Linked DNA regions of Sus scrofa. The protein of the gene in region 1 purifies or fractionates together with the protein of each later gene. This does not show direct contact. Links are inferred from orthologs where the notes say so. Each region holds a gene or a part of one and is shown in the gene's direction. Other genes may lie near its edges. The genes, in order: KMT2C, PAGR1, NCOA6, PAXIP1 and lysine-specific demethylase 6A-like.

The links.
Region 2: the proteins of KMT2C (region 1) and PAGR1 purify together in Homo sapiens (affinity purification with mass spectrometry; 3 studies listed by BioGRID and IntAct, with this or other methods). This does not show direct contact. The link is inferred for Sus scrofa from reciprocal best matches to the Homo sapiens genes KMT2C and PAGR1.
Region 3: the proteins of KMT2C (region 1) and NCOA6 purify together in Homo sapiens (co-immunoprecipitation; 7 studies listed by BioGRID and IntAct, with this or other methods). This does not show direct contact. The link is inferred for Sus scrofa from reciprocal best matches to the Homo sapiens genes KMT2C and NCOA6.
Region 4: the proteins of KMT2C (region 1) and PAXIP1 purify together in Homo sapiens (affinity purification with mass spectrometry; 4 studies listed by BioGRID and IntAct, with this or other methods). This does not show direct contact. The link is inferred for Sus scrofa from reciprocal best matches to the Homo sapiens genes KMT2C and PAXIP1.
Region 5: the proteins of KMT2C (region 1) and lysine-specific demethylase 6A-like purify together in Homo sapiens (affinity purification with mass spectrometry; 3 studies listed by BioGRID and IntAct, with this or other methods). This does not show direct contact. The link is inferred for Sus scrofa from reciprocal best matches to the Homo sapiens genes KMT2C and KDM6A.

What each region holds. Positions count from the first base shown.
Region 1 is NC_010460.4:5,265,784-5,269,296, forward strand, and holds part of KMT2C (histone-lysine N-methyltransferase 2C), read left to right. Parts: intron 1-431; coding exon 432-571; intron 572-984; coding exon 985-1,092; intron 1,093-2,287; coding exon 2,288-3,407; intron 3,408-3,513. UniProt on the Homo sapiens protein: Histone methyltransferase that catalyzes methyl group transfer from S-adenosyl-L-methionine to the epsilon-amino group of 'Lys-4' of histone H3 (H3K4).
Region 2 is NC_010445.4:18,051,321-18,055,480, forward strand, and holds the start of PAGR1 (PAXIP1-associated glutamate-rich protein 1), read left to right. Parts: upstream 1-1,358; 5' UTR 1,359-1,834; coding exon 1,835-2,316; intron 2,317-2,478; coding exon 2,479-2,561; intron 2,562-4,160. UniProt on the Homo sapiens protein: Its association with the histone methyltransferase MLL2/MLL3 complex is suggesting a role in epigenetic transcriptional activation. However, in association with PAXIP1/PTIP is proposed to function at least in part independently of the MLL2/MLL3 complex.
Region 3 is NC_010459.5:38,131,391-38,134,903, reverse strand, and holds part of NCOA6 (nuclear receptor coactivator 6), read left to right. Parts: coding exon 1-2,888; intron 2,889-3,513. UniProt on the Homo sapiens protein: Nuclear receptor coactivator that directly binds nuclear receptors and stimulates the transcriptional activities in a hormone-dependent fashion. Coactivates expression in an agonist- and AF2-dependent manner.
Region 4 is NC_010460.4:3,101,352-3,104,864, forward strand, and holds part of PAXIP1 (PAX-interacting protein 1), read left to right. Parts: intron 1-219; coding exon 220-290; intron 291-1,448; coding exon 1,449-1,551; intron 1,552-2,077; coding exon 2,078-2,246; intron 2,247-2,390; coding exon of another isoform or gene 2,391-2,434; exon of another isoform or gene 2,435-3,162; intron 3,163-3,513.
Region 5 is NC_010462.3:9,085,168-9,089,277, reverse strand, and holds the start of lysine-specific demethylase 6A-like, read left to right. Parts: upstream 1-1,307; 5' UTR 1,308-1,656; coding exon 1,657-1,808; intron 1,809-2,000; coding exon 2,001-2,064; intron 2,065-4,110. UniProt on the Homo sapiens protein: Histone demethylase that specifically demethylates 'Lys-27' of histone H3, thereby playing a central role in histone code. Demethylates trimethylated and dimethylated but not monomethylated H3 'Lys-27'.

The sequences.
Region 1 (3,513 bases):
CCCGGGCCTGCCGCGCTCCCTCTTTGAGTTTCCGAATCACACCCACTGAAGAGCCCATGCACGCCCTCCTCACCTCCCACGAGACCTTTCGTGTCGTCTTCGCCCTCGAGCATACGTGGTCTCCCTCCCGGCCACTCGCACGGAGGCTGAACACGGCCCAGCGGGTGACCCGGTTCCCCCCACACGTCTCGCGGCCCAGTTGTCGTTCAGCCGTGTGAGCTGGGCTCCTCTGCTTGTACCCCAGGGTCGTGCACGCAAGAGGCGCCCCGTAGCCATTGCTCAGATTAGGCTTTTATTACTTAACAGAGACTAATACACGGTAAGTTAAATGAACCACGTTACAGTAGATTGATACGGTATATAGCTGGTCATCATGTACCATCTGTGCGACCGGTCAGGTTTAGCCGCTGACAGAAGTCTTTTGCCTCTAGGTCTTTCTGGATACAAGGATGCTAGTCATGGCATTGCAGAAAGTGCGGCCCTCAGACCACAGTGGTGCTGCCACTGCAAAGTGGTTATTCTGGGCAGCGGCGTGAGGAAGTCGGTCAGAGACCTGGCCTTTGTGAACAAGGTATGTGAGTGTGGGTGTGGGTGAGTGTGGGTGTGGGCGTCCCCGCCCCTGCCGGCCGCCTGGGCAGGGCCCTGCTCCTGCACCCACGGGACATCCGTTGCGGGAAGGAGCCTCTACTTATGTTCCTTGTGCTTAAGCTTAAAACCAGATTACCGCAGCTGGCTGTTAAGGTGGACGCTGTTAGAACGGCGTGTTTTTAAGTTCAGTGAAATATGGAAAGTAAAGTTTATTTCTGTAAGTGTGTCTTTGTGGCGAAATCATTACATGCTAAATATCAGCTCGCAGTTATCTGTGTACTTCTAAGGTGGCTACTTTTCACTTGGAGCAGAACATAAAAACCAACTCTGTAAAGATCTTGTTTTTATTAACTTTTGACTTGTTGAGCTCCCCCCACGTTTCTCGTTGCCTTTCAGGATTTCCGAGAAAGCTCCAGTAGGGTGGAAAAGGACATTGTCTTCTGCAGTAACAACTGCTTTGTTCTCTATTCATCAGCTGCCCAAGCAAAAAACTCGGAGAGCAAGGTAAAACTCGACCGTCTCCGTCTGTGCGGAGGAGCTTGCGTGTCTGGGAATGTGCCCCGGCCCCACGCAGAGCTCTCCCGGGGAGTGGGAGCAGGTGCCACTCACCTGCTTGGTAGCCGAGCTGAGAAAGAGCAATTGGTCCCGGTTGTTGTTGCCGGTTAAATAAGTTTAGCTTCTTTGGCAAGAGCGGGTAGATCTGAATTATATCTTAAAAGTTCAGAATTGAGTAAAACCCTAATACTAAAATCCGAAATCTTATTTAATTACAAATAATTTAATTACAGCTGTGAAAGATTGCTGCATTGATTTTTATCCCAATGGCAAAACCTGTTCACAGACGCATTTGGAAGCTCTTCATGTATTCTGGGGGGGAAGTGCCTTTCTCATGCTGCGGTGGGAAAGGCCTGCTTGCTTTTGCGTGGTTCTCTGGGTGCGTCTGGGTGTGAAGGGGACGCGGACGACGTGAAGGGTGGTTTTCCCACATGCAGTAAGTTTAGACGTTAAACTATATCTGCCTAGATGAGAGAAGGAATTGTTTTTGGTTTTGTTTTTTCGCCAAATAATTTTTGAAGGGGTATGCAATGCCTGGCTGCTTCTGGACTTTATGTGAGGCTTATCTTTTTTCAGAACCACATAGGAAGGGGTGTATGAGGAGAGGCTGTGGGTTTGCTCTTTGACTTGTTTGTGACACTTTGAGTCCAAAGAGAAACTAATGGAGCTTCTCTCTCAGCTCAGCCCTTTCAGCAGCTGGATCCCAACCCCCCGCCTCTGAGGAAAGTTCACTGTGCCCCGTTTGCTGGCAGGGGACGTCTTCCCCTCCCTCACGCGTCTGCCAACTAACTAAGCCTAAGATTAACAAACGGGAATTTCGGAGGGTGGGGTGAGCGTGTAAGAGAGAGTGAGCTGAAGTTGTGTCGTGTAAATTCAGCAGGCACTGGCAGTACTGATTTTTCTGGCTTTATTATGGTTTGCAAGTGAGTGTCCATGGAAGTTTAAGCAAAATACGCTGTCCCTGTTGATCTGTAAATACTGGACATTGAGCACCGACTCGTGCTGCCCAAAAGTCCTCGCCACTCAGGTTCAGAGCCCCAGCCGAAGACGGTCAGAACCCTGTTGCTCATTTTGCCTTGTTCTAGTGCCGGTTGCTGTTCGGGCTCTTGAATGCCTCGTTTTTGTGCTTCTCTTTATTGCTCAGGACTGCATGGCTTCGTTGCCACAGTCACCGGTCAGAGAGCCACCTTCCAGAGCTTTCCATCAGTACAGCACCAACATCTCCACTTTGGATGTGCGTTGCCTGCCGCAGTTCCAGGAGGCAGCTTCGCCCCCCGCGTCGCCTCCCATCACGTTCCCTCCTGCTTTTGAAGCCGCCCAGGTCGAGGCAAAGCCCGATGAGCTGAAAGTCACCGTCAAGTTAAAGCCTCGGCTGAGGACCGTCCACGGCGGCTTGGAGGACTGCCGGCCGAGCGCTAAGAAGTGGCGGGGCATGAAGTGGAAGAAGTGGAGCGTCCACATCGTGGTCCCCAAGGGGGCGTTCCGACCCCCCTGCGAGGAGGAGATCGATGAGTTTCTGAAGAAACTGGGCACGTCCCTGAAGCCCGATCCTGTGCCCAGAGACTATCGGAAGTGCTGCTTCTGCCACGAAGAAGGCGACGGCCTGACAGACGGGCCGGCCCGGCTGCTCAACCTCGACTTGGACCTGTGGGTGCACCTGAACTGCGCGCTGTGGTCCACCGAGGTCTACGAGACCCAGGCTGGCGCCTTAATCAACGTCGAGCTCGCCCTCAGGCGCGGCCTGCAGATGAAGTGTGTCTTCTGCCACAAGATGGGGGCCACCAGCGGGTGCCACCGATTTCGATGCACCAACAGTTACCACTTCACCTGCGCCGTGAAAGCTCAGTGCATGTTCTTCCGAGACAAAACCACGCTGTGCCCCATGCATAAGCCAAAGGGGGTCCACGAGCAGGAGCTGAGCTCCTTCGCCGTCTTCAGGAGGGTCTACGTGCAGCGCGACGAGGTGCGGCAGATCGCCAGCATCGTGCAGCGGGGGGAGCGCGACCACACCTTCCGGGTGGGCAGCCTCATCTTCCACACCATCGGCCAGCTGCTCCCGCAGCAGATGCAGGCCTTCCACTCGGCCAAGGCGCTCTTCCCCGTGGGCTACGAGGCCAGCCGGCTCTACTGGAGCACGCGCTACGCCAACCGGCGCTGCCGCTACCTGTGCTCCATCGAGGAGAAGGACGGGCGCCCCGTGTTCGTGATCAGGATCGTGGAGCACGGCCACGAAGACCTTGTCCTGAGCGACACGTCGCCGAAAGGTGAGGCCCCGCTTGGACGCTGGGCAGGGCTGGTCACTCCAGGGTGGGGTGCCTGAGCGTTTGCCGTCCGTCCCCCTGGGTGCCTTCTCCTAGTTCTCATCCTTTA
Region 2 (4,160 bases), on another chromosome or scaffold:
CCATAGGGACCAATGGAGCCTGAGCAGCCTTGTTTACAGCTTCTTTCCTGCTCCTGCATCCTGCCAGGCTCCTCTGCCAACCGTAGGCCTCCCTGTTCCCTGCTCTGTGTCCAACCTCCCTGCACTTTTGCCTGCCTCCCCTTCAGCCTCTTGGCTTCCCTACCCCTGCACTTCTGGAAACCTCCCTGCACTTCTGGAAACCTCCTTGCACTTCTGGAAACCTCCCTGACCATCTCCCAGACTCTCTTTGCTCTCAGCCTTCCTGCATCTCTTGCGGCCTTCCTGCACTACACCCTCCCGAGTCCCCTGCACCTCATCCCGGATCTCCATTTCCCAACTTTTTATTGTCTCAGCATCCCCCCCTCCCCCCCCTCCTCTCTTCCTTCCCTTCCTCATTCATCTCCTCTTCCCTCTCCACACCCTCCACCCCCTTCCTCTTCCTGCCTCCTCATCTCCCCTCTGCATCCTCTCCTCCACCCTCCTCCACCGTTTATTCTGCAAAAACTCCAGCACTTAGATCAGGCTGGGGGAGGGGAGCGGTGTCTGGAGAGGGCTCCCTAGCCCGGGCTCGCGACTGTTCTCTGCAGGGACTACCCAGGCCCAGACACCCCCGGGGTGCCTCGGGGTCGCAGAGCTGGCAAGCCGGGCCTCGTTTGTAGATTTGTGCAGGGGTGGCGGGTACTGTTCCGAACAAGCACCTGGTAGAAGGGAGGGGCGAGGCTCTCGAACCCTCCCCGGTCGGCCCGAGCTGACCTGCCCCGCCTGGGCTTTTTAACCCAGTCGGTTTGTTAAAGGCGTCGCGGCTGGAGTCATTCACGTGCTTTGTAACTGTAAGAACAGAAAAAATTGGACCAAAGCTCCCAGCTGCAGGGAGCAAAGAAGGGGCGGAGAGAGCTGCGATTATTTTCTAAGAGGACGAGAGAGGTTTGTTGCACGCGACAGTTCACTGGGGAGGCAGGGTCTGAGCCACAACGCGGTTCGGAGTTGGTTTGGTTTTGGTTTTTTTGTGTTTTTTTTAATATAAAAAAAAGCGTAGGGAAAAAACCTAAAAGTCTTTAAAAAAAAAAAAAAAAAGGATACATCAAACTGATTCTCCCTTTTTGTATGCCGGATGCTGCATGAGTCTGAAACACCAATAAACGGAGACTGCATGATACTCGCCTCCAGCCTCAGTTGGTCCTTACGTGCCTGCGCCGCGGGGCCGGAGGTACAGCCTCCTTTGGGGCACAACCTACTAGGTGATTTGCGCATGCGCCACCCCCGTGGCCATCTTTACTGTGGGCCGAAGCCTATCGTTCCCGAGCGCCTACCTGCGCATGTGCAAGCCTCCCCTTGCTTTCCTCTCCCAAGTAGCTTTGACTAAAGCGGAGCCTCCCGCGCCGTATCTGTGCGCCTGCGTACTTTGACCCTGCGCGGCCCGGGAGGCGGGTCTTAGCTCCAGGTGCGTACGGCCGCTGAGGTGGGGGACCTTCGAGGTGTGGGGAGAGGACGCCGCATCCAGGTGTAGAGCGGCGTAGTGCGGAGGCGAGAAGAGCGGGTCCGCCCGTCTCCGGCCCGGAAAGTGGTTTCTGCCGCTCGCTGGAAACCTCGGAGTACCGGATCTCGATCTGTGGGGGGCGGGGTCCTTGGAGGGGACTGAGCGCCCCCTCCTGGGAACCGGTGGTCTGGTCGCGAGACCGCTGTTGGAGCCTGATTGGTTAGCGAAACAGTCCCCGAACCCCGGGGTGATCCCTTTTTTTGGGAGGGAGTGGAGGGAGGGAGGGGGCGCGGGGGGAATCCCCGGCTTGGTACTCCTGCATCTCCTGGCATCGCTGGGCCCCTTCCCTAGTGGCTTATGTCCCTTGTCCGGGGTCATGGAGACACGGCAGCCACCGCGGCGGCGCCTCTGTCTGAAGAAGGGGAAGTGACCTCCGGCCTCCAGGCTCTGGCCGTGGAGGACACCGGAGGCCCCTCTGCTTCGGCCGATAAAGCCGAGGAAGAGGGGGAAGGAGGCCGGGAGGAGGCCGAACATGAGGGGTCCAGGGCCGAGGAAGTGCAGGGAGAAGCCCCCAGCACTGAGGGGGAAGAGCCCGCCCAGGGAGACTCCGAGGACTGGTGCGTGCCCTGCAGCGATGAAGAGGTGGAGCTGCCTGAGGATGGGCAGCCCTGGATGCCACCTCCCTCCGAAATCCAACGGCTCTATGAACTGCTGGCTGCCCACGGTACCCTGGAGCTTCAGGCAGAGATCCTGCCCCGCCGACCACCTACGCCTGAGGCCCAGAGTGAAGAGGAAAGATCTGATGAGGAACCCGAGGCCAAAGAGGAGGAAGAGGAAAAGTGAGGATTGCTTCCTTGATGCCAGGAGGAAATAGGGAGGGAGGTGGGACCCAGGAGCATGGGAAGTTAGAGGGAGGGGAAGAGCCCGAAGGCCCGGGAGAAGCACCAGTGGAGGTTTGGAAGGATCTCCCTCACCCTCCTCTCTCTCTCCACCTGTCCCAGGCCGCACATGCCCACAGAATTTGATTTTGATGATGAGCCAATGACACCAAAGGACTCCCTGATTGACCGGAGGCGCACCCCAGGTACAGACAAGAGTGGAGAATGGGGGGCGCGGGGGGGCCTCTGTTCCCACTTACTCCGAAAGGGACTCCCTGAAAGAGGTCTTTGAGGCGTTCTCTGATGGCTTAGTGGCAAAGGACCCAGCATTGTCACTGCTTTGGCACAGGTTCGAACCTTGGCCTGGGAACTTCCACATTCCATGGGTGTGGTCAAAAAAAAAAAAAAAAAAAAGGTCTCTGCTTGGTTCCTTGGTAGCTACACAAATCACAGCTTCAGGGGAGAGCGTGCACTCAGTGGTTGCCATCCTTCCAGTCTAGGTGGTACCCAATTTTCTTTTAAAAGATTATCACAGGTAATTCTATCATATTTCCCATTCCTTTGGTCTCATTTCCCCCCCACCCCCATCCCAGAAGTCCGAGTCTTCTTGGTCATTATCTAGCTCCACATCCCTATGCTACTGCGTACACCTCCTAATCTGACCTAGCTTCCCATGCCTAGAGTTTACCGTCAGAGCCATTCTCTCTCTCTCTCTTGTGTGTGTGTGTGTTTAGGGCTGCATCTGCGGCATATGGAGGTTCCCAGGCTAGGGGTCAAATCAGAGCTATAGCTGCTGGCCTACACCACAGCCACAGCAACATGAGATCTAAGCCACATCTGGGACCTACACCACGGCTCATGGCAACACCGGATCCTTAGCCCACTGAGTGGGGCCAGGGATCGAACCCGAATCCTCATGGATACTAGTCAGGTTCGTTAACCTCTGAGCCAAGACGGGAACTCCTCTCAGAGCCATTCTTGATTTCTCTTTCTTTCTTTTTTTTTTTTTTTTTTTGTCTTTTGTCTTTTTTTGTTGTTGTTGTTGTTGTTATTGTTGTTATTTCTTGGGCCGCTCCCGCGGCATATGGAGGGTCCCAGGCTAGGGGTCTAATGGGAGCTGTAGCCGCCAGCCTATGCCAGAGCCACAGCAACGCGGGATCCGAGCCGCGCCTGCAACCTACACCACAGCTCACGGCAACGCCGGATCGTTAACCCGCTGAGCAAGGGCAGGGATTGAACCCGCAACCTCATGGTTCCTAGTCGGATTTGTTAACCACTGCGCCACGACGGGAACTCCCGATTTCTCTTTCTTTTATGTCAACATTCAAACCAGCAGCAAGTCTTGTTAGGTCTGCCTCCACATTTCCAAATTCAGCTACTAGTCTCTGTCTTTAATGTGACACCCTGATCCAAGCCGTCTCTCTTTCAAAACATAAGTCAGCTCAAATCTGTTTTAAATTTTTTTAAATTATTATTATTTTATTTTTAGGGCCTCAAGTGTGGCAAATGGAGGTTTCCAGGCTAGCGGTCCAATTGGAGCTGCAGCCCCTGGCCTACACCACAGCAACACGTGATCCGGCCACATCTGCGACCTACACCACAGCTCACGGCAACACTGGATCCTTAACCCACTGAGCAAGGCCAGGGATCGAACCTGCAACCTCATGGTTCCTAGTAGGATTTGTTGCTGCTGTGCCACGACAGGAACTCCCAATTCTGTTTTAAATTCTCCGAAGGAGGAGTTCCTGCTTGGTGCAGTGGATTAAGAATCTGATTGCAGTGACTTGGTTCACTGGAGAGGGACG
Region 3 (3,513 bases), on another chromosome or scaffold:
ACAGCAGCCACCACCTCCCAGTCAGCCACAGTCTCAGCAGCAGCAGCAGCAGCAGCAGCAGCAGCAGCAGCAGCAGCAGCAGCAACAAATGATGATGATGCTCATGATGCAACAGGACCCCAAATCAGTTAGACTTCCAGTCTCCCAGAATGTCCATCCCCCAAGGGGTCCCCTGAACCCAGACTCCCAGAGAATGCCCATGCAACAGAGTGGCAGTGTGCCTGTCATGGTCAGTTTGCAAGGACCTGCCTCCGTGCCACCATCACCTGATAAACAAAGAATGCCAATGCCTGTGAATACTGCTTTGGGAAATAGTTCAAGGAAAATGGTATACCAGGAGAACCCCCAGAATCCTTCCAGTTCACCGCTAGGTGAGATGTCCTCGCTCCCTGAGGCAAGTGGCAGTGAAGTACCATCGGTCTCAGGAGGCCCAAACAGCATGCCTTCACATTTAGTAGTCTCCCAGAATCAGTTAATGATGACAGGGCCAAAACCTGGACCATCACCCCTTTCAGCAACTCAAGGTGCAACTCCCCAGCAACCTCCTGTAAATTCCCTGCCCAGCTCTCATGGCCACCACTTTCCAAATGTGGCTGCTCCAACCCAAACATCTAGGCCTAAAACACCAAACAGAGCCAGCCCCAGACCCTATTATCCTCAGACTCCCAACAACCGCCCTCCCAGCACAGAACCTTCAGAAATCAGTCTATCACCAGAAAGACTCAATGCCTCCATAGCAGGACTCTTTCCCCCACAGATTAATATTCCTTTACCTCCCAGGCCAAATTTAAACAGGGGGTTTGATCAACAAGGACTAAATCCAACAACTCTGAAGGCCATAGGGCAAGCACCTTCAAATCTTTCCATGAATAATCCTTCCAATTTTGCTGCCCCACAGACTCACAAATTAGATTCTGTGGTGGTAAATTCTGGAAAGCAGTCTAATTCTGGAGCAACAAAACGGGCAAGTCCAAGCAACAGCCGCAGGTCTAGTCCTGGGTCAAGTAGGAAAACCACCCCAAGTCCTGGGAGACAAAATTCAAAAGCTCCTAAACTTACTCTGGCCTCGCAAACAAACACAGCCTTGTTGCAAAATGTGGAGTTGCCAAGAAATGTATTGGTCAGTCCCACTCCTTTGCCCAATCCTCCTGTACCTGGGAGCTTCCCTAACAACAGTGGACTGAATCCTCAGAATCCTACTATGCCTGTTGCTGCAGTAGGGGGTGTTCTCGAGGATAACAAGGAAAGCTTGAATGTGCCTCAGGACAGCGATTGCCAGAACTCCCAGGGTAGGAAGGAACAGGTAAATGTTGAGTTAAAAGCAGTCCCAGCCCAAGAAGTTAAAATGGTTGTTCCTGAAGATCAATCCAAAAAGGATGGGCAACCTTCGGATCCTAACAAACTGCCCAGTGTCGAAGAGAACAAAACTTTGGTGTCTCCTGCTATGAGGGAAGCACCAACATCATTAAGTCAACTTCTTGACAACTCTGGAGCTCCTAATGTGACCATAAAACCCCCCGGGCTTACAGATCTGGAAGTAACACCCCCAGTAGTTTCTGGAGAGGACCTGAAAAAAGCATCCGTCATTCCCACACTGCAGGATCCGTCTTCTTCTAAAGAACCCACTGGTTCCCTAAATTTACCTCACAGTAACGAGCCGTGTTCAACCCTTGTGCATCCAGAATTGAGTGAGGTCAGTTCTAATGTTGCACCAAGCATCCCTCAAGTAATGTCAAGACCTGTCAGTTCTTCCTCCATTTCCACTCCTTTGCCCCCAAATCAAATAACTGTTTTTGTAACTTCCAACCCCATCACGACTTCAGCGAACACATCAGCGGCTCTGCCAACTCACCTGCAATCTGCATTAATGTCAACGGTCGTCACAATGCCCAATGTGGGTAGCAAGGTTATGGTTTCTGAGGGACAGTCAGCTGCTCAGTCAAATGCCCGGCCTCAGTTCATTACACCTGTCTTTATCAATTCGTCCTCAATAATTCAGGTTATGAAAGGATCACAGCCAAGCACAATTCCTGCAGCCCCACTGACAACCAACTCTGGCTTGATGCCTCCCTCTGTTGCAGTCGTTGGCCCTCTACACATACCTCAGAATATTAAATTTTCTTCTGCTCCTGTACTGCCTAATGCACCCTCCAGTAGTCCTGCTCCAAACATACAGACAGGTCGACCCTTGGTCCTTAACTCACGAGCCACGCCTGTTCAGCTTCCGTCCCCACCTTGTACAGCTTCTCCAGTTGTCCCTCCTCATGCCCCTGTCCAACAAGTGAAAGAATTGAATCCAGATGAGACTAGTCCTCAGGTGAGCACCTCAGCAGATCAGAGCACTCTGCCCTCTTCACAGTCAACCACAGTGGTTTCTCCCCTTTTGACTAATAGTCCAGGCTCCTCTGTCAACCGACGAAGCCCAGTCTCATCTAGTAAGGGCAAAGGAAAAGTGGACAAAATCGGCCAGATTTTGCTGACGAAAGCTTGTAAAAAAGTTACAGGTTCTCTTGAGAAAGGGGAAGAACAATATGGTGCAGATGGAGAGACTGAAAGCCAAGGGCTAGAGACTGCAGCTCCAGGGCTCATGGGAACAGAGCAGTTATCCACAGAGCTGGACAGTAAAACCCCAACTCCCCCAGCACCCACTCTCCTAAAAGTGACCTCTAGCCCTGTGGGCCCGGGCTCCGCCTCAGCAGGACCCAGCTTACCTGGCAGTACTCTCCCCACCAATGTACGCTCAATAGTAACCACTCTGGTACCCTCTGAGCTCATCTCTGCGGCGCCGACCACAAAAAGCAATCATGTTGGCATAACATCTGAGCCACTTGCAGGTGGCCTAGTGGAGGAGAAGGTGGGATCTCATCCAGAGCTTCTGTCCAGCATAGGTATGTACTCGGGGCATGGCATCATCTCATGTGAATTTTTAGATGACCTATCCCACAAGAGAAAGCATGACTTCTTTTCTACTTGGAGGAAGAAGAATGGGCTAAATGGCAATAGTGATAGTTCCATTTATTTGAAATACATTGGGAAAATATTCTTTTAAAATCCTCTGTTAAGTTTACATTCATTAACATGGTTCTCAGCTCTTGAAATAATGAAACACCTTTCATTTATATAAAATATTTCATTTTACAAAGAAGTATCAACTATGTCAGGTATCCCTAACGCCATTCTACGGGTGAAAAGATTGAAGCTCAAGGGTTCAGTTTTCATTCAAAATCTATCCTGTGAGTCTCCAATTTAACATTGTTAAATTGGGTGAACAGCAGCTTCTGTGGATTCTCCTCACCAAAGTGCTTTCAGCTATTTCAAAACAGTTATCTCACAGCTTCTTCATTGTATTCTGTCAGGGTCTGTTCTCTTCTGACTTGCCTCTCCATAGGAGAGCTTTCCAAAAAACCAGGTTTCACCATAATAGACATGAGAGGACCAAAGTGGTTGAGAGATAGGCTTAGGTTGGTATCACAGTGCCAGCATTTACCAGCTGTATGGCCTTAGGCAAGTTAC
Region 4 (3,513 bases), about 2.2 Mb from region 1:
AGAGGGAGGGAGACAGTTTACAGAACCGTGGGGTCAGGTGAATACAGAGCAGGGCCGGAACGTCACCTTGGCGGGCGTCTGGCCAGAGTCCGCCTGGCTTCCCAGGCGGTGCCCGTTCTGAGGTGCTGCCTGTGTGGGGCGCTTGGGGGGCGTGTGTAAACCTGTTCGAAGCTGCTGGATGCCTTGGGAGGTGGAGTGACGCGATGCCTTTCATTGCAGGGTGTCAGACTACCTCCCAAGCCGAAGCAGAACGAAGTAACGAATATCCAGCCTTCTTCCAAAAGAGCCAGGTAGGAAGAATCCCTTCCCTTTGTGTGGTTGGTGGTCTTTTACAGGTTTCAGGAAATGGGGCAAGTGGGAAAGCTTCTGAAACTTTCATGTCAAACAGGATGTGCTGATTGTACCTCAGCTTGATTATGACAAGGCTTTTGTTGCTGGAGGATGGGAAAGCCACTGGCTTTCCTTTTTTCTCTTTGTGGCTGCACCTGCCAGGGATCAGCCTGCACCACAGGAGGACTCCGTGTTTTTCTTTCTGTAACCAAAACTGTACCAGAACCTTCAGTGTGTAAACCATGAGCTGCTGTTGAGAGGACGGGACAGGATGGGGAACTAGCACCCAGGTGTCCTCCAGAGCTCCGGGGAGGCTCTCCTGACCCCTGACCCCGAGGGGGTGGGCGTGGTGTGCAGACCTGACCAGCCTCACCTCTGAGACGAGCTCACGGCTCGTTAGAGGAGACCCCCCTGTTCCCAGGGTGTGCACGCGGGGCGGTCACCTCCCACTCCGCATGCCCACACTGCCTAGAGTTAGTGGACTTATGAAAGCCTAGTTATATGATTGTATGTTTTTATGACTGTCGTTAAAATGCCACAAATTACCTTTTAAAAAATTGAATAGATTGTTCCAAATATAAGCTAAAAACAAAATTTGGAAAAAATTAGCGAAATGTAAAAGACTGAGAAATTTAACTTGCAATGTGTGCTTGAGTCCAGCAGCTTCGTTCTGGTGCCTCCCGGGGTGGGCGGGGCGGGGCAGGTGGAAAGCGCAGGGCTGGAGCCGAGCCGAGCCTCCTGGTGCAGGAGGAGAGGGACGGCGGGCACCAGGCTCAGTGTTGGGGAGAAGGCAGGGGACGGGGACGAAGTGGAAAGGCAGTGGCTGCCGCCCCTGGGCCACCTCTGTGTCAGTGGTGGAAAGAAGAGGAAACTCACTGCCTTCTCCCTGTGAGGAAAGGAAAGCACACACCTGAAGCCATCAAACGCCCTCATTTGCTAAGGAGCCGTTTTTCAGCTCCACCCCTGTGGTGAGTGGAAGTTCCCAGGGCCACAGATCACATCTGAGCCAGGGCTGCAACCTGGGCTAGCAAATGCCAAATCCTTAACCCACTGCACCACAACAGGCACGCCAAAGAGCTTTAAGTAAGTAATAAAATCACCCTCATGTGTCTTTATAGAATTGAAGATGTACCACCTCCCACCAAGAAGCTAACACCGGAATTGACCCCCTTCGTGCTTTTCACTGGATTTGAGCCTCTTCAAGTTCAACAGTATACTAAGGTAAAATTCTGTTCTATTTTGCATAAGGATTTTTAGGGATGTTCCCTTCTGTTTGTTCTGCCAGCACTTTTACTAAACTAACCTTTAATGAGGAATTGCTTACAGTATTTTTTTCCATCCTTGAGGCATGCAAAAGTTCCCAGGCCAGGGATCAAAACCGCACCACCGCAGTGCCAAGTCCTTAACCTCTAGGCCACCAGGGAGCTCCTAGAGAACTGTCTTAATGAGCCTCATTAGCACTCATTTCCACTTAGAAAGTCTGGGCATATTTGCTTGTCATCATGCGATGCGTGCCTTGGTCTCGGGACATTTTACTTGTTCTGGGGGGGTGGGGGCGGTGTCTCCTTGGGGTCCGGTAGGGCTCCTGTTCGCATCTCGATTTGTATGGCCTTGATTCCAAACACAGACATTGTAAGATCGGGTTCTTGGTCCAGTTGCCCCGTGTGTGCGGGCTGAGCTCTGTAGACAGTCAGGCTGTGCTCGGTACGCCGAGCTCTCACCTCTGACCTGTGGTCCCGGCCTCCAGAAGCTCTACATCCTTGGAGGGGAGGTCGCCGAGTCTGCGCAGAAGTGCACCCACCTCATCGCCAGCAAGGTGACGCGCACGGTCAAGTTCCTGACGGCCATCTCCGTGGTGAAGCACATCGTGACCCCCGAGTGGCTGGAGGAGTGTTTCAAGTGTCAGAAGTTCATTGGTGAGCTTACCGTTGGCACTCGCAGACGTGCTCCCGTCCACTGAGTCCTGGGCCCTGCGCCTTGTCCCCAGCGCTGGCTGTCGAGTGAGGTCGCACCCGCGGTCCGGCAGGCTGGCTGAGCGTTGGGTGGGGTCCTTTTGGCAGGGACGTCGCAAGAAAGCTGCGGGGACTCATTTGGAAAAACCTGAGTGCTTTTAGCGCCTTTTTGCTGCAAAGTGCAGCATGACTCTGACCCCATGGGACTTCCTTCCCTGTGGAGGCGTCGTGCCCGAGCAGCAGCGATGCCGTCCTTGAAGCCACCCAGCCTGTAACCCTCGCCCCCACTTGTCTGGCTGGAGCTCCACTGCCCTTTCCATCGTTTGTTGCTTTCGGTCTCCGTGTCCCATCCGGAGGGCACGGGCACCTGCTTCCTTGGTCCCGCGTTGCGTGGCCGGAGTACCGACGTCCCGCCTCTGCTAATCAAGGCAGACGCACACGCGTGTCTCTGGCCGCAGTCTGCCCTGGGGCGCTGTGGTCTTCTCCCCCGTTCTCACCTCTGCCCCTCACTGCCCGCCGCCCCGGACCAGAATGATTCCACCGCCAAAGGATAAGGCAAGACGCGTGGTCAGGGACCCAAGAGGCCATCAGGGACACTCCTGGTCCCCATGGGCACCACATCCTTCTGACTCACTCACCTGACCTTCCTGGTTCCTTAGGGGGCAAGTCCTGGTTAGGTCAGTAGTGAAACATTTCATAGCATGTCCTTTCCTTGGCCACTGGTAGTTAAACATAATTCAGCCTTGAGGGTTAATAAGTTCACGGCAAGTTTTATAGATGAGAAATTAAGGTTCAGAAAAGTAAAGACACTACTTACAGCAAAGCTATAACCAAACTTGAAATTACATGATTCTGTATCTAAGCTAGTAAAACCTAAGAATAAATCATTAACATGAAAATATTAAAGTCAATAATATGAAAAAAATAAAATAAAATCTGTAGCTGCAGCAGTACAGTTGACTCCTGTTCCATGAAGGGCTCGTGGTGAAACTGTCACCTGGTCACTGGCCCTGGCAGCAGAAACTAACTGGGTATGCGTTTCAGATAAATGGTAGCAGGTGGGCATGAATACGAAACCCACGGATAATGAGGACCAGCCGTATTACGGTCTTTAGAAAAGTCCTTGTCAATTGAGATTTTAGAAATTACTGTGTTCTTAAAAGATATTAATGAAATATAAAACCTAACAGTGCAGCAGGCAGAAGAAAAATGTAGAAACAGTTACTATAAA
Region 5 (4,110 bases), on another chromosome or scaffold:
TATCATAAACTGTCCTCCTCTTTATGTAAATCAAAGTTTAAATACATTTTGTCTGTTTTAGATCAAGGGAAATTTTCCCAAAACTAAGTATTTCAGGCAACTATTTTTAAAAAATAAGCATTTTCCTAATCTTACAAGTATTTTTTAAGATACTTATTAAAAGTTAGCATTTTTCAGGAGCTCCCGTCCGTGGCTCAGCTAAAAGGAATCCAACTGGGAACCATGAGGTTGCGGTCCGATCCTGGGGCTTGCTCAGGTTAAGGATTTGGCCATGTGGTGAGCTGTGGTATAGGTCATAGACCCAGCTTGGATCTGGCACTGCTGTGTCTGGGGCACAGGCCCAGCAGCAACAGCTCAGATGCGAACTCCACCCTGGGAGTGGGGTTGGGTGTGACCTTAAAAAGCAAAAAAAAAAAAGAAAGGGATTTTCCCAATTAATAACAACTGGAGGTACAGCGCAGATGATATTGCATAAAGTATCACACAAGAGTTGCCCGTTTTAAGAAAAGTAATTTACAGAGGCCTAATTTTCCCCACAATTGTATTATTTACAACCTGACAAAAGCAAAATAAGAAAGTATTGTTACGTTTTGTTTTCTAAGGCTTACAGCATCTCCAGTTAGGGTCTTAAATATTTCTTCGCAGCTTGGATCACCCGCCCATTTTGGGATCAGTGCGGGAGGCACCAACAACGTTTGGAGTTCTAGCTGGTCAGCCAGACTCCCCGAAAGGCTGCTGGGATCTGGTGGGTGGGCTGTGGTCTCAAGGTTCTTACCTCTCCCTTTACGACCCGGGATAGGAAACCCGGCAGGAAGAGTTAGTTAGGGCCGCGTGGTTATTATTTTCCAAAGGTGCCAAAAGTCTTGTCTTCCAGGATCGGAGGTTCAAGTGTTACACTTGTTATGATCCAGGTGGTGAGAGTTTCCATAATATTACAACGCCTGTGTCAGTGCCGCAGCTGAAAAAGAGCTATGAGTCCTCCATCTGTGCTGTCGTCTGCCGCAGTATCTTCTAGGTTTCAATCTTCTCCATCATTCCCTTCCTCAGCTTGTTATTAACGAGGCCGAGACACTCCATTTTTTACAACGATGTAGAACAGTTTGCTGTACATGTTGCACACCCTTTTCCAAATCAGCGAGTCCGCTAACCAATTTACCCACGAAAGTTTGCGCCCCTTCCGGTTCCTGTACGGGTCGGCGGTGACTTCGTGGGAGTGATTGGGTATCTAGCAAGTTCGGTTGAGCCGCAAGTGACGTGAGTCAACAAAGGTCACGTGAGGCAAGCCCTTCGCATCAATTGGCGGCGCCGGGTTTAGGGGGTGGGGGCGTCACGGTTACTCGGGGTTTGCCCGGTGACACGATTGCAACTTTGTGCGGGTGCTGGCGAAGTTTGTAAGTCTAAGATAGTCTTCCATTACAGCGGGCTTCCGCGTTTTCTGCTGTCATCGCATACTCCATGATGTGACCTCGGCAGCCGAGTTGCGCAGCGTGGGTATTCGCTGTTTTTGCTATCAGCTTGGGCTTTTTCATCACCGCCACCTGCGTTGCTTGCTATAAAGTTGGTTTGCCTGTGTGTAGCGCCAAGACCTTCTTTTCGCGTCCTGGACTGGGGTTTGGTACATTTCGGCCTTGAGAATTTTACATTTGTTGCGTTTCAATGAAATCCTGCGGAGTGTCGCTCGCTGCCGCTGCAGCTGTTTTCGGTGATGAGGAAAAGAAAATGGCGGCGGGAAAAGCCAGCGGCGAGACGAAGGAGAGTTCCCTCAGCTTGACAACCGAAGAGAAGGAGGCGCTTAGCGGAATGGACAGGTACGGACCGCTGTTACTCTCCCACGTGGCTACCGACCGGCTGCAACCGCTCATCGGGGTAACTTGAGCTCGAGTTACCTCTGGTGGCGGCGTCGTCCAAGTGGTTGCTGCCACCCGTGCCTCGGGATGGGGAAGGGACCGGTCAGTGGCTTTACTTACGCGTTAATAAGTTGTCTGTATTTTCTCCCATAGCCGCCTCTTTGGGTTCGTGAGCCTGCATGAAGATGGCGCCAGGACTAAAACTCTGTTGGGCAAGGTAAGGCAGTCTCGGGGGCCAACGCAGTCCCCCGCTTGTGCCCTGTTGTCTTTGCCACCTGCAGCCACTGAGGCGCGTTGTGGCAGAAAACGAAAAATTATTTTGCTCTCTTCTCACCTGGATACCTCGCTTACTGCCTGGCAAAATTCTGTATTGTTGCTTGAGCAGCAGAGACGTCGGGGTTTTCGGGCAACGCCTAACGGTTATTTTGGAGCATTTTCTTTAGGAAATGATTCCTGAATTTCAGTATCACAGAGTCGTGAACGTGTGCAGATTGAAATTTTTCAAATTCCCATGCGCTGTTCTTTTTTTTTTTGTTGTTTTCTTTTTTTCCCCTTTGACGGTCGGCTTGAGAGATCTGCTTTTAAGTGATCGTTTTAAACTTTAATTACTCATGTTCTCAGAAGGGATAGTTTGTATATCCTTTGCAACCGTGAAGAGTTTGAATTGGGTATTGAACCAGTATACTGATTGGTGTGTTTTCGAACCGGGTAAACTGTTTGTTTGGGTTTAGCTGCTTAGATTTATTGCTGACAATGCCAATAATCCCCCGCCCCCCCCCCGCCCCCAGCACCTTGTTTTTGGTGTCTGACATAGACGGGCGAGTTTTCTCGGTTTATCTGTGTAAAAAGTTATCGGCACTGTCACTTAGTTAATGGCTGCCCCATCGGCCAAGATGGCGGGAAATAGTGGGTGGGGAAATGACGACGTGAGTTTTGAAGGAGGGAAGAGATATAAACAAGGAAACGCTAGCGGTAAGCGTGCTTTTGCATTGGTTACTGTGTCTTGATGGTGCATAATAAAAATTTAGCACTGATATTTAAAAGTAGAATTCTTAGATTACCAAGCTTTACAACAGCATTCGTGAACCTAAAATGTGCTTTGCAACCTGGGATCTATTTAGTCGTAGTAAACGATTGCACAAATACCATGTAATCTCAGTTGCACAAATACCATGTAATTTCAATCTTCTGAGCAAAATCTAGTTAAAATATATTTTTCTTTCATTTCATTCCATGGAAGGGGGTCATATTTCCATTAGATATTTACTTTTCTAACCGAGACTGGTAGCTGTGAATTTGTCTTACCTTTTGCTCCATTTCAGAAGGACGTATTAAGTATGTATGCTTTTTTTGTTTTGGTTGCACCCACAGGCATATAAAAGTTCCCTGGATCCTTTAACTCATTTTTGCCAGGCAGGGGATGGAACATGCACCTCCACAGCAATCTGAAGTGCTGCAGTGTTATTTTTATTGCACTGACTATAGGTAGAACGCTAATAAATTTTATTTTTAAGTTATTTTTGACAGTTTCTGTTGTAGTTCAGCAGTAATAAGCCCAGCTAGTGTTCATGAGGCTGAAGGTTCAATCCCTGACCTTACTTGGTAGATTAAATATCGGGTGTTGCGGTGAGCTGTGATGTAGGTCCATGGCTGCAGGTCTGATTTCCACCTCTAGCCTGAGAACTATGCTGCAGGTGTGGCCTAAAAAAATTTTTTTTTCTTGTCGAGAATTCTGAGCTGTACTTGAATTTATGTAATCTTAAATTTTTTTTTAACCTGTAATCTCACTTTTATCTTTGTTTTTAAGGCAGAAAATGACCATGAGATAGTGTAATAATTTGTCATCCAATCCATTTAATAAAACTCGAATTAAGCTTTGGTCATGTAGGTAATTATTACTCCGTTAACCTTATCACTGGGAGAGTAAACAGTGACTTTCTCTGATAGTATTTAAGCAGCAGTGAAGTGAGCCAGAGCAATGATAATGCCGGACCCTTAACTGCTAGGCCACCAGGTATTGCCTATTTTTTTTTTTCTTAATTTTTATTAAAAAACTCAGTATTTAAATATTTTATCGAAGTTCCCATCGTGGCTCAGCTAGTTAAGAACACAAACAGTATCCATGAGGTTGTGGGTTCAATTCCTGGCCTCTCTCAGTGGCTAAGAATTAAGGATCCAACATTACCCTGAGCTATTGGCCATAGGGCCAGATGGACTTTGGTTCTTGCCTTTTTGTGGCTGTGGTGTAGGCTGGTAGCTGCAG